Sus scrofa: one gene and its partners. The protein of the gene in region 1 purifies or fractionates together with the protein of each later gene. This does not show direct contact. Links are inferred from orthologs where the notes say so. Each region holds a gene or a part of one and is shown on either strand. Other genes may lie near its edges.

Region 1 (3,500 bases):
CTACATGTCACTAATTCATCCATCCATCCCACTATCCTTTTTCAGCTGTGCTCATGCCATATGGAAGTTCCCGTGACAGGGATCAAATAGGAGCTACAGTTGTGACCTATGCTGCAGCTACACCAGATCTTTAACCCACTGTGCTGAGCTGGGGATAGAATTGGCACAGTCAAAGAGACAAGCTAGATCACTGACCCACTGTGCCACAGCAGGAGCTCTCCTGTCCCATTTATTAAAAGAAAACAAAAATGTTATTTATACCTGCAGATTATTCGCATTAGGGATATCTTCATGTTTCTCATCCAAAAGCTTTGAAATAATCACTAGGCTGAGGCACTGTCTCAGCTGCCTGGAATTAGAATTTTAAAGTATTTAGAATGTGTTTAATCAACACTGCTTAAGAAGCAAATGAATGAGACAAAAGAAGTTCTCATTCAAAACATAGCTAATGTTTCAAGAAAAGGCTATATAAGAATATATAAGCTTTTACTAGAAGAGTAAAACTTTCATGTAAAATATTTTCACACCAAGTTGGAGTTGCTTTAAGCTCAAGCAAATCATTAACAGCCTTTATTTTTTGACAATTTTCATTTACTTTTTTTTTTAGACTGCACCCAGGGCACACGGAAGTTCCCAGGCCAGGGATCGAACCTGCACCACAGCAGCGATCTAAGCCGCCTCAGTGACAATGCTGGATCCTTAACTTGCTGTTCCACAAGAGAACTCCCAACAGCCTTTATTATTTTATTTTTTTAGGGCCGAACCCATGGCATATGGAAGTTCCTGGGTTAGGAGTTGAATTGGAGCTGTAGCTGTTAGCCTACACCACAGCCACAGCAACGCCAAATCTGAGCCACATCTGCAACCTACACCACAGCTTACTGCAATGCTGGATCCTTAACCCACTGAGTGAGGTCAGGGATTGAACCTGTGTTTTCATGGATACTAGTCAGATTTGTTTCCACTAATCACGACAAGAATTCCCCAACAGCCTTTACTTTTTACTCTGTTATTTACTGTTAGAAAACCTATTTTATTGTTGGAATTTCTTTTTATTAAAGGAAAAAAATGCTAATTGATTCATTTTCATGGGATATGCCATCTATATTAAGTTACCAGATAAGCTAAAATTAAAAATGAAGAAAGCGATCTTTGTTACATATCAGAATCAGGCCTGTCCATGTCTCTTCCCACAGCTGAATATGAAATAAAAGACTCTGGTCTAACACTCAAGGAATGATGAAAGAAAACAAAGGATCTAAAAGCATTTCACGGGAGTTCCTGTTGTGGTGCAGCAGAAACGAATCTGGCTAGGAACCATGGGGTTTTGGGTTCGATCCCTGGCCTCACTCAGTGGGTTAAGGATCCAGCATTGCTATAAGCCATGGTGTAGGTCACAGACATGGCTCAGATCTGGCGTTGCTGTGGCTGTGGTGTAGGCTGGCAGCTGTAGCTCCGATCAGACCCCTAGCCTGGGAACCTCCATATGCCCTGGGTGCGGCCCTTGAAAAGACAAGAAATAAATAAACGCATTTCACTAATATAAACATTTTTTTCTTAGTGTCTAATTCTCACTTTTCTTTCTTTCTTTTTTTTTTTTTTTTGTCTTGTGTTGTTGTTGCTATTTCTTGGGCCGCTCCTGCGGCATATGGAGGTTCCCAGGCTAGGGGTTGAAACGGAGCTGTAGCTACCGGCCTACGTCAGAGCCACAGCAACGCGGGATCCGAGCCGCGTCTGCAACCTACACCACAGCTCACGGCAACGCCGGATCCTTAACCCACTGAGCAAGGGCAGGGACCGAACCCGCAACCTCATGGTTCCTAGTTGGATTCGTTAACCACTGCGCCACGACGGGAACTCCTAATTCTCACTTTTCAATACCTTCCACGTGATGTCCAGTTAGGGACCAGCTGTACCAACCATAGAAGGTTGTGGGGATGATTAGAGAGTTCATTTATGGCCAAACAGAGTTCAGGCACCTGAAAACAAACAGAAAGCAATATTTTTCAAACCGGTCAGTGGAATCAAACTCTAACAGATCATCCACATCTCCTCATGACCTAACGGAAGCATTATTACAAAAAAAGCACTCATTTTTAGAAACAGCATGGAGTACACAGACTCAGTTTTATCTTGACTTCTGTACCAGACTGAATAGATACCTTTATCAGAATTTCATTTGGCTGTCATGTTTTATGCTACATCATCTCTCTTTCTCTGTCTTTTTAGGGCTGCACTTGCGGCATATGGAGTTTCCCAGGACAGAGATGGAATCGGAGCTACAGCCACTGCCTACGCCACAGCCACAGTAATGGCATATCAGAACCGCAACTTTGACCAAGACCACAGCTCACGGCAATGCCAGGTCCTTAACCCACTGAAGAAGGCCAGGGATGGAACCTGTGTCCTCATGGATACTAGTCAGATTCCTTTCTGCTGAGCTATGATGAGAACTCCTTTATCATCTCTGTATCTATATTTAAACAATCCTTGGAAGAATAAAGTAATCTAAATAGGTTCCAAAGGTATAAAACAAGAGCTGCATAAGATAATACATATTCATGATCTTGGATTTCTTGAATTTCAGGAATTCTCAACCATTCTGGTATTTAAAATCTAACAGAATTTCTTCAAAATAATCCCTGAGCAGGGAAAGGAAGTATGAGATAAGGGTAACAGATGAGATAATTGGTAATTGTTGGAGCTGGGTGGTAAGTACTGAATAGTTCATTAAACCCTTTTACTTTTTTTTTTTTTGTCTTTTTAGGACCACACCTGCAGCATATGGAGGTTCCCAGGCTAGGGGTCTAATCAAAGCTGCCGGCCTATGCCACAGCCATAGCAATGCCAGATCCAAGCTGCATCTGCGACCTACACCACAGCTCACGGCAACACCGGATCCTCAACCCACTGAGGGAGGCCAGGGATCAAAACCACAACCTCATGGTTCCTAGTCAGATTCGCTTCCACTGAGCCACCATGGGAATGCCAACCCTTTTACTTTTGCATGTTTGACATTTTCCATCAAAAAAGGTTGAAAAATATAAAGAAAAAAAATTAGGCACAATGGGATCAGTGGCATCTCTGCAGTGCTGGGATACATGTTTGACCCCTGGCCCAGCACAGTGGGTTAAGGATCCAGCATTGCTGCAACTGAGGTGTAGGTTGCAACTGTAGCTTATATCTGATTCCTAGCCTTCTCAAGAACTCCATATGCTGTGAGGTGGCCAAAAGAGAAAAAAACAAACAAAACAAAAAACAAAAAAAAACTAACAAAAATTATGCATGTTTACCCTCAATGGCTATAGAAGCCCAACTCAAATTCTTCTATGTGTGACTCACTCTATCATTTCATTTAGGTCTCTGTTCAAAGGTCACTATAGAAAGGCTCTAACTGCCTCATATGAAATAGCAGAGCATCCCTGCCTTGTCCTGCTTTATTGTAATTTGTAGCACTTATTACAACTTAACATGATATTATAATTTACACTGTTTATAAC
Region 2 (4,233 bases), on another chromosome or scaffold:
GAGGCATGGAGGATAAAGGGCTAATTGCTAGTAGTCTAACACAAGAAATAAAGTAACTAAACCCCTACATAATTGTACCTGCAGTATTTCTTGGGAAATTAGAGTTTTTTTCTAGAACTTACAGGGGTCAGTCCTTCAAGCTTTCACACAGTAGATACTATCCTAACACAACAACAGGAAAAGAAAACAATAAAAAAGCATCTATTTTAACAGTTAAATGTTTTATCTTTACTGGCAAAAAGTTAAAAATATACATGAGACTCTCAGTTACAAGAACATGCTCTTTCTGGAATATTAAAAGTTTGCAACGATTTTTAAAAAATCTAGTTACTTACCTTGTACCATATAATACACACAACCAAGGAGATAACGATTGGAAAAGAGCTGGCATTTATGCAGAACAAGCAACTGTCTCTGTGGTGTGGACTTTCCCAAAATATCTTCCACATGGACCTATCCCTGATGCCTGAAATTCCTCTGTGGTTGGCGCCAGTTAGTAATGCAAATAAACCTATAGCAATCATCATCACAATTAAGGCCATTTCATTATATACTAGCTTTTTAGGTCTATGAATTTTTTACAAGTGACACATAGATAGAATATGCTGAAAAGAGAACTCAGAAATAGAGGCAAGAATGTAGATATAAATACAAAGGTCTTGTTTGGGAAGGAGGATGAAAGAGCAGAGTGTAACAGTTGGGTGAAAGAGAGAAGTAATGCATAAAAGAAGGGCAGGGATGCTGAAAGCAGTCTGGGGTAAGAAAATAAGGATACTTTTATACTCTGCATTACAGTGTCTGATAACCAGACACAGAGTATTATGGAACTGTGAGAATACAACATATCCTAAAAATTAGTAAGTATGCTACTAAGATAAATAAGGGATTTATAAAAAAGCTTAATTTATATAATTGCATTTAAGAACTAAGAATTTTCCCCGAAAATAAATTTTACTGACTGGTCTTTTAACTTTAATTAACACATAATAGAAAATTTGAGAAACACTACAAAGTATATGGGAAGATTAAAATCATGTCTAATTCCTTCACTCTGTAATATCACTGTCACTATTTGGGAGTGGTGAGAGGGGTGTGACTTGAAGGTTTTATTTATGTGTGTGTAAAAAACATAAAAAACAATTTAGATTATATAATTTAGTAACAATTTTTATGTAAAATTATATCATGGTCATTTTTCCATGCTACTGAATATTTCACGGTTTTAAGACCAATAGGTTGAAAAATAGTGGTTTCTTATTGTTATTCAAATGAACTATTTTGATTTTAAACCTGCTACTATTTTGATTTCACACCTACTAAGGTAAATCAGCATTAAAACTTCTCTCTTCTGGAAAGAACCTACCAAGCCTGAATTTAACCAATATTGCTATTTTGAATTTAAGACGTTGAAAGATTTTCATGATTTCATTTATCTAAAGCATTTACTGGTAAAGTAAACGATACTAAAATTGAAAAAGGTTAAAGTGCTGGTTCTCAATTTTAACCAATGCTACAAAAGCAATACACAAATCACAGTACTCAAAACTGTAAAATCCTGTTTGCCATTGAATGCTGTAACATCAAATGGAGTTTAGGAATGTTGTCCTCTCTTGGTCTATGAGCCAAATTAGGCCTTTAGCTTAAGTTAATTCAGCTGAGCTTTGGAAAAAGTTTTTTTAAAAAAATACAGTACCTGCTGCCTGTCCTATTCCTCAAAAAATAAGGGATGTGTATGAGTGTACATTGTGTGCATGTGTTTATATGTAAATCAATTATTTGACTAAGGTCTCTAATGGTGAGACAGATTATTTCAATGGCATCATTCGGGAAAAGAATCAGTCATAATCAGTCTGATTGATTTTAGCAGTTGAGGGCAGAAGTGGAGAAGTAGAAGTGACTGTGGTGAGGAAGAAATTAGAGGCTAAGAAGGCTTAGGGAGATGTCCTATCTATCCGGTGCTTACGAAGCACTAGCTGGATGAAAGATACTTGCTTTGGGATAAAGGGGCCTTAAGGAAGCAAGATGAGTAAAAGGAATGATGTTCAGGGAAAAAAGAATGAATGGACAGAAGATATCAGTCACTGCGGATGAAAGCCAAGCCTGCTTTAGTATCCCAGGAACTCTGTGTGTTACTTAGGAGTATAAGGTCTAAGGTTAACCAAGAAGGATTCTGTGGTCTGTATACTTCATATATATATTAGTCCATCTCCCTGAGAACCTACATGTTATTTGCCCTTCTTATACAGATTAGGTTATTGGGGAATCTAAGAGATTAAGAAACTAGTTCAAGCGTATGAAAAGGACTTGCCAAGAGGCACAACAGTCAAAGATACAAATCTGTTTCTACAAAAACTCCATGTCTCTTCTACAAAGCATTTTGACTTTAATTTCAGAGCTTAGTTGAGTACTTTCAACATAATTTTACAAAGCAATCTATCTTAAGCTAGTGAAAGAAAAACACACCGCACGAAAAGGAAGCTACTATGAGGGTGGAAAGACATTTAGATACCAAGGTCATGAAAATATTTAAATGTAATTACAAATGAATTTTAGAAAAATAACACCAATGTCTAAAATTTCAAGGCATTTCCAGGAACAATTTAAAGAGTGACTTTTTTTTCTTACAAAAAAGAAAATTTTCATAATTTTCCCCTCAAAGTGGAGTAGTGATTCACTATATTAGTTCATATGGGCTTTCTTAATCAAAAATAACAAAAATATTAATTTCAAGATAATTTGTGGCACAGGGGAAATGAATCTAAGAACCATAAGGTTGCGGGTTCGATCCCTGGCCTTGCTCAGTGGGTTAAGGATCCAGTGTTGCCGTGAGCTGTGGTGTAGGTCGCTGACATGGCTCAGATCTGGCATTGCTGTGACTATGGCGTAGGCCAGAGGCTACAGCTCTGATTCAACCCCTAGCCTGGGAACTTCCATATGCCATGAGTGTGGCCCTAAAAAGACAAAAAAAAAAAAAAAAAAAGATAATTTGGATAAGTAACTAAGAAAATTTAAAAACTTCGGTATTTTACTTTTAGGCAGTAAAATGTCTCAGGTGACAAATAGTACATAGCACATTTTACAGCACATTATTTTCTATTAGCATATTTAAGGAGAGTCAATTATAAGAGTAACTTAAGATCCATCTTAGTTGTATTTTTGAGAAAGGTTCTTCACTTTCTTTAGGTTTTATTTTTTGCAGTCTATATAGAATTACTGATTTTTTTTAAATGTGTTGCTTAAATAGTGAAAAGACTATCTCAGAAGAATCAAAGAAACACCACATAGTTAATAAAAGTATTCTATTGGTTTTCTTAAAGGCAAGGTTTTCAGACATGAGTGAAAATTTTCGACACCTATTATGAAATCTTCAGCATTCTGAATTGTGATTATGAAAAATAACATACTTGACCGCCTTTTCGAAGACTGTTTCACAGGCTTTAGGGAAGCAAAAAAATATTAAATCATATAATTGAATTTCCCTTAAATCAATAAGGCAAAAGAAAAATTTACATTTAGAAAACAGACCTAACAGGAGCATATTTGTGTTACTGAAGGCTAATTTTCTTCACAATAAAAACGTACACAAGTATTAAAGTACCTTAATTCATTTAAATTTAGAATACTGAGTTAACTTAATCATAATCAAACTAACTCGTTATAAAAGCGCACCTCAAGCTATTAACTTATGTAGGAACACCTGCAATACAGGTTAGTCAAACTTGCTTAAAATGGGAACATCTTGCACATCAATAAGTACTTCTAGGAAATGAGGCATAATGTAATAACATAAGCCCAAAAGTTCATGAGGTGCAGAGTCTGTCACACGTACACTGTAAATTCAGTTTAAATTTTCATTCCTAATGTCTTAAAAGGAATTTTTTTCCGCTTTTTTTTGATATAGCACAGTCATTCGTCAAAGAGGTTGGTGCTACCAAAATCAAGCTCCATCTAATTTCTGGGTCAAATCCTGCTATGGAGTACTCAAAGTAGATTAAGATTTTGTCAGTATTTAATCAGACGTTTGGGAAGTGGAAGAACTCTCAGGACAACCATAGCCATGTTCCCAGACTTCAAATGGCTAAGATATTAAAATCCCTAGGAACAGAGATAGACGTGTATGTGTGTGTGTGAGAGAGAGAGAGAAAGATTGCGTGTGTGTGTTTGAAGGCCTAGAGCAGCCGCAGTTATGTTCATTACCATTTGGGTAAATTTAAAATTCTACTAGGGAAAAAA
Region 3 (4,095 bases), on another chromosome or scaffold:
TCTAACTCATCTTTTTCTACTATCTTCTTCCTCTATGCTCTAATAAGACCTCTAAATTCAATCCGTAAAGAATTTCCTTCAGTTTCTCGACTATCCCTTATGCTTCCTTCTTTTTCTAAGCCTTGTGCACACTATTCCTTCTGCCTAGCACTCTCTCTCTCCACTCTCAATCCCATTTGACTTGGGAAATCCTTTCCTAGACTACTCTCTCTGGCCATTTTGGTTTTCTATGCCTCAAAGACCTCTCCACTGTGAACATAAAACAAAACTTCACCTAGCTTTGCACTTTCCAACTACCTTTTCTTGCTCCTCTTCACATTCAAGCTATATTTCCCCACGTTCATTCACACTTCTATTACTTAGTTTTCTGCCTACACGACTTCATCAAAGAGTCAAAGATTTCCTAACTGCTAAATGCATGGGTTCTTTTCTCTCCTGTAATCTGAATTCAAAGTAGCAAATGATGTTTTTGGATCTTTTTCCTTGGCTTCTTTGATAATACTCTCCCACAGTTCTCCTCTTACTTCTCTGAACAGTTCCTTCTCAATCTGTGAGATATGCCTGGCCTTAAATACAGGGATTTCTCCAGGACTCTGTACTTGGTCTTCTATTCCCAATCATATTTCCTTTTGGGCAATTTCAACCATTTCTGCAATTTCAACAACCACTTATATGCATGATTTCCAATTCTCTCTCCTGTTCACATTTTCCAGTAAGCTCCAAACACTTAGAAATATTGCCTATAGGAGTTCCCTTGTGGTACAGTGGGTTAAGGATCTGGTGTTGCCATGGGAGTGGCTTGGGTTGCTGTTGTGGCATGGGTTTGATCCCCGGCCTGGGAACTTTGCATGCTGTGGGTACAGCAAAAAACCAAAAACCCTCCCTACAGAAATCTTTTAGATGTCCCACAGGAAACTTCAAGTCACAGGTTCCAAAAGGCATTTATTATCTTCCCCAAACTGTTCCTTCTACTGAATACCACTATAAATGTCCAATTCTCCAAGGCAGAGACTTAAGAAAAATGCTGCATCCTCCCTTACTATCATGCCTCACAAATAATCTGCAGCCGGACCCTGTCAAATCTCTTCTTTCTGCTCCCACTTTCCAGCGTTAGGGTCAAACTCTGAATCATCTCTGCCCTTGTATTGTAAAAGCCTTGTTGCCTTCACTTTTGCACCTTTTCTAAATGATCCTTCACAATGCTGCTGAAGTAATATGTCACATGTCATGCATGCACTTAACCTGGCAACCTACAGCATAGAACTGGAATTCCTCAGCATAGGAAACACAGACCCCCAAGAGTTGTCTTCAGTATAAACCCTGTTCACATATTCACATCCTGTGCTCTAACCATATTAAAATACTGGAAACTTCTTAATCATAACCATTTCAGGTAATTCCTTCTGTCAGCAATGCTCTTCCTTTTTAAGAATGTCATAATCTCCAGTACAAAGCCCTTCTCACAGTTGTGGACAAAATTAACCATTTTAGCCATTGCTCCCCCCTTGCATCCTGATGCACATATGTTATTAAGGCAAATACTTCGTTTGATTATATTTATCTTTCCTGATTTGGATTCAAACAACAATTCCGCTACTTATTAGCTGTGTAAACGTGGGCAAATTAACCTCTGAGCTTATCAATGGAAATAATATAAAGAGTTGTTACCAGGAAAGAATGAGAGCATTGTGTAAATAAAGCACCTACTTCTATAGCACATGACAGATGTTTGAAAAATAATGTTAGTAATGTTACTGCAATTCTGTTTTCCCTATGTTACTCTGCGCAAGCTTAAAAAAAAATAAATCTTAAATGAACTTTAAGGTGCTAAACAGATACACGGTATTTGTGTTAAAACATATTTAAAAATTCTACAGTGAGTATTATGGTTAGTTGTCTGAAGGGATAAAAAAGGAACCAGAAAGCCAGATTTGAAAGGGTCAAGGGTCTTCTGGGAGCGCAATAACTGAGAGTAAGGCTTAATTTTCAGGTACATTTCAACCTCCATTAGGAAACCTTCACCATCTTTGTCCACCTAGCAACTGCCTACTCTTCACGAATCTGTCACGGCATCACTGCCGTTCTGATTTAACTGTTGCTTCCTCTGAGTTCCCAAGAACCACAGTTTTGCCAATTACAGATTACGTCCTACCTCTACAGGCTGTGACTCCCAGGGGGCAGAGATCGAATCCCTACTACGTCCACTGCCCGCCATATGACGTCTTCAAACAACATTGGCGTTAAGAATTAAAAAAAAACATATCACCCAAGACACACTCCTACCACATCGACACACACGTCAATCTTCATGGCCGACGAATAAAACTCCTGACGGCAATCTCAGCACGAATTTACTGTTAAACCCACAAGCCAGGCACACATCCACCCACCTACCCCTGCACGCATGCAGCCTGCGCCCCCAGCCCGAGGGCCCGCTCGCCTCCCCAGCCCGGCCTCTGGCCACTCACAGGAAGTTCTCCATCGCGATGCGGACGATAGAGCCTTCTACGAAAGGCCCTGAAGACTGCAGCGGCAGTGGAGGCGGCGCCGCCGGCGGGGCCGAACTCTTTTTCTTGCTCGGGACCTCCGACGAGGGATCTCTGGGGAGAGCTCTCTTGGAGGCCAGGGGGATTGGTGTAGACGTTTTCTTGCTCGGTGTCGCCATTCTGGCTTCCTTTCCTTCTTGAGCTGGCTTCCGTTCCCACCGACCTGCAGCCCCTGCGCTCCAGCGCCCGGCTCCCGCGCGACCTGCCCTGGCGCGCGACTCCCCCACCCCCTGCCGGGAGCCCGCCCTCGCGCCTGCGTAGTTGAGATCGCTGGCGTCAGCGGTCACGCACCGCCCAGTGCTGGGCCTGGAAGGCCGAAACCCTTGCGAAAGCGGGGGTGGAGCTGGGGGAAGCTGCTTCCGGTCACTTTTCTCTATGTCTGTATACTTTGAGAAGTTTTGTTTTGGTTTTGTTTTTTAACTCAAAAAAAGACATCAGTTGCATTTAGTATTTTGAAAGCCTTTTCAGTGCTCTGAGGAAACATCCGGGAGAGAAAGGAGGACGGTGTTTGTGATGGCACCTCGTGTGGGCAACGTCAGACCCCATTGGTGATGCTCGGAGTCTGCCCTCGGTTCGGGCCTCTTCGTCTTCTTTCTTTGTTTTCAAGCAGGTTCCCATGTCCAAAAAGAAAGAAAAGAAAGGAAACTCTTCCAAATGGCTCTATGCCTTCCTCTCTCTTAAAGCATGGCGCTATGGTCTCCTGCACTCTCCAACTGGTAGAAAGACTGCACCACACAGATTCTCCTCATTGACTGTCCATCCCCTCGTTAATTCCCTTTTAAGACTCCCTCCCTCGAAGTTTCCGGAAACCCCGGAGCTCCCTGGCATGGTGTAGAGGGTGTTCCACTTAAACTGGCTCACATTTGTCTAATTAACCTCCCTTTTAAGATGAGCTTCCTGCGACCTACTTATGTGTCATTCCTCAACTGATAATGTCTAATCTACCAGAGGCTGGGTTGTGGCCTTGAGGGAGTGAGTGGAGAGATAGAAAAAGAACAAGTTAACCTAATTTCTGGCGGAGATAGATGCTCAGAAGAGAAAAACAGAATGAATGTGATGGAGAGGCAGGGAAGGCCTGTCAGAGGGAGTGATATTTGGGCTAAACCCTGAAGGCGAAGAAAGAGCCAGGTGTGGAAATAAGAAAAGAGCATTCTGGGCAAAGACAAAGGCTGTGGTTGGGGGAGTAAACCATGGAAGGAGTTAACAAAGGGAAGGCTGGCAGTAGAACCCTGATTTCTGACTCCTGGACCAATGCTCCTTTTCCAGGTTTCTGATTCTTTCTCTCACAGGAGTGAAATCCACGCTCTCAAAGTTATAATCAACGAAAAAATGAGTTGGAAAAACATGTAAAATTTTCATGGTTATTAGGAAAAAAATATATATTTATAAAATTTTGACTTTGCTTGCAGCATGAAGTTCCCAGGCCAAGGATGTAACCTGCACTATAGCTGTAACCACGGCAGTGACAATTCTGGATCCTTAAGCTGCTGAGCCACCAAGGAGCTCCACAAAAAAATTTTAAATAGAAATTAAAGAAGAATTTTGAAAC

The links.
Region 2: the proteins of SMC5-SMC6 complex localization factor protein 2 (region 1) and SLF1 purify together in Homo sapiens (co-immunoprecipitation; 3 studies listed by BioGRID and IntAct, with this or other methods). This does not show direct contact. The link is inferred for Sus scrofa from reciprocal best matches to the Homo sapiens genes SLF2 and SLF1.
Region 3: the proteins of SMC5-SMC6 complex localization factor protein 2 (region 1) and SMC5 purify together in Homo sapiens (affinity purification with mass spectrometry; 3 studies listed by BioGRID and IntAct, with this or other methods). This does not show direct contact. The link is inferred for Sus scrofa from reciprocal best matches to the Homo sapiens genes SLF2 and SMC5.

The regions. Positions count from the first base shown.
Region 1 is NC_010456.5:112,031,282-112,034,781, reverse strand, and holds part of SMC5-SMC6 complex localization factor protein 2, read right to left. Parts: intron 1,980-3,500; coding exon 1,882-1,979; intron 350-1,881; coding exon 262-349; intron 1-261. UniProt on the Homo sapiens protein: Plays a role in the DNA damage response (DDR) pathway by regulating postreplication repair of UV-damaged DNA and genomic stability maintenance.
Region 2 is NC_010444.4:101,292,615-101,296,847, reverse strand, and holds the start of SLF1 (SMC5-SMC6 complex localization factor protein 1), read right to left. Parts: upstream 2,801-4,233; 5' UTR 543-2,800; coding exon 336-542; intron 1-335. UniProt on the Homo sapiens protein: Plays a role in the DNA damage response (DDR) pathway by regulating postreplication repair of UV-damaged DNA and genomic stability maintenance.
Region 3 is NC_010443.5:223,558,976-223,563,070, reverse strand, and holds the start of SMC5 (structural maintenance of chromosomes protein 5), read right to left. Parts: upstream 2,801-4,095; 5' UTR 2,666-2,800; coding exon 2,469-2,665; intron 1-2,468. UniProt on the Homo sapiens protein: Core component of the SMC5-SMC6 complex, a complex involved in repair of DNA double-strand breaks by homologous recombination.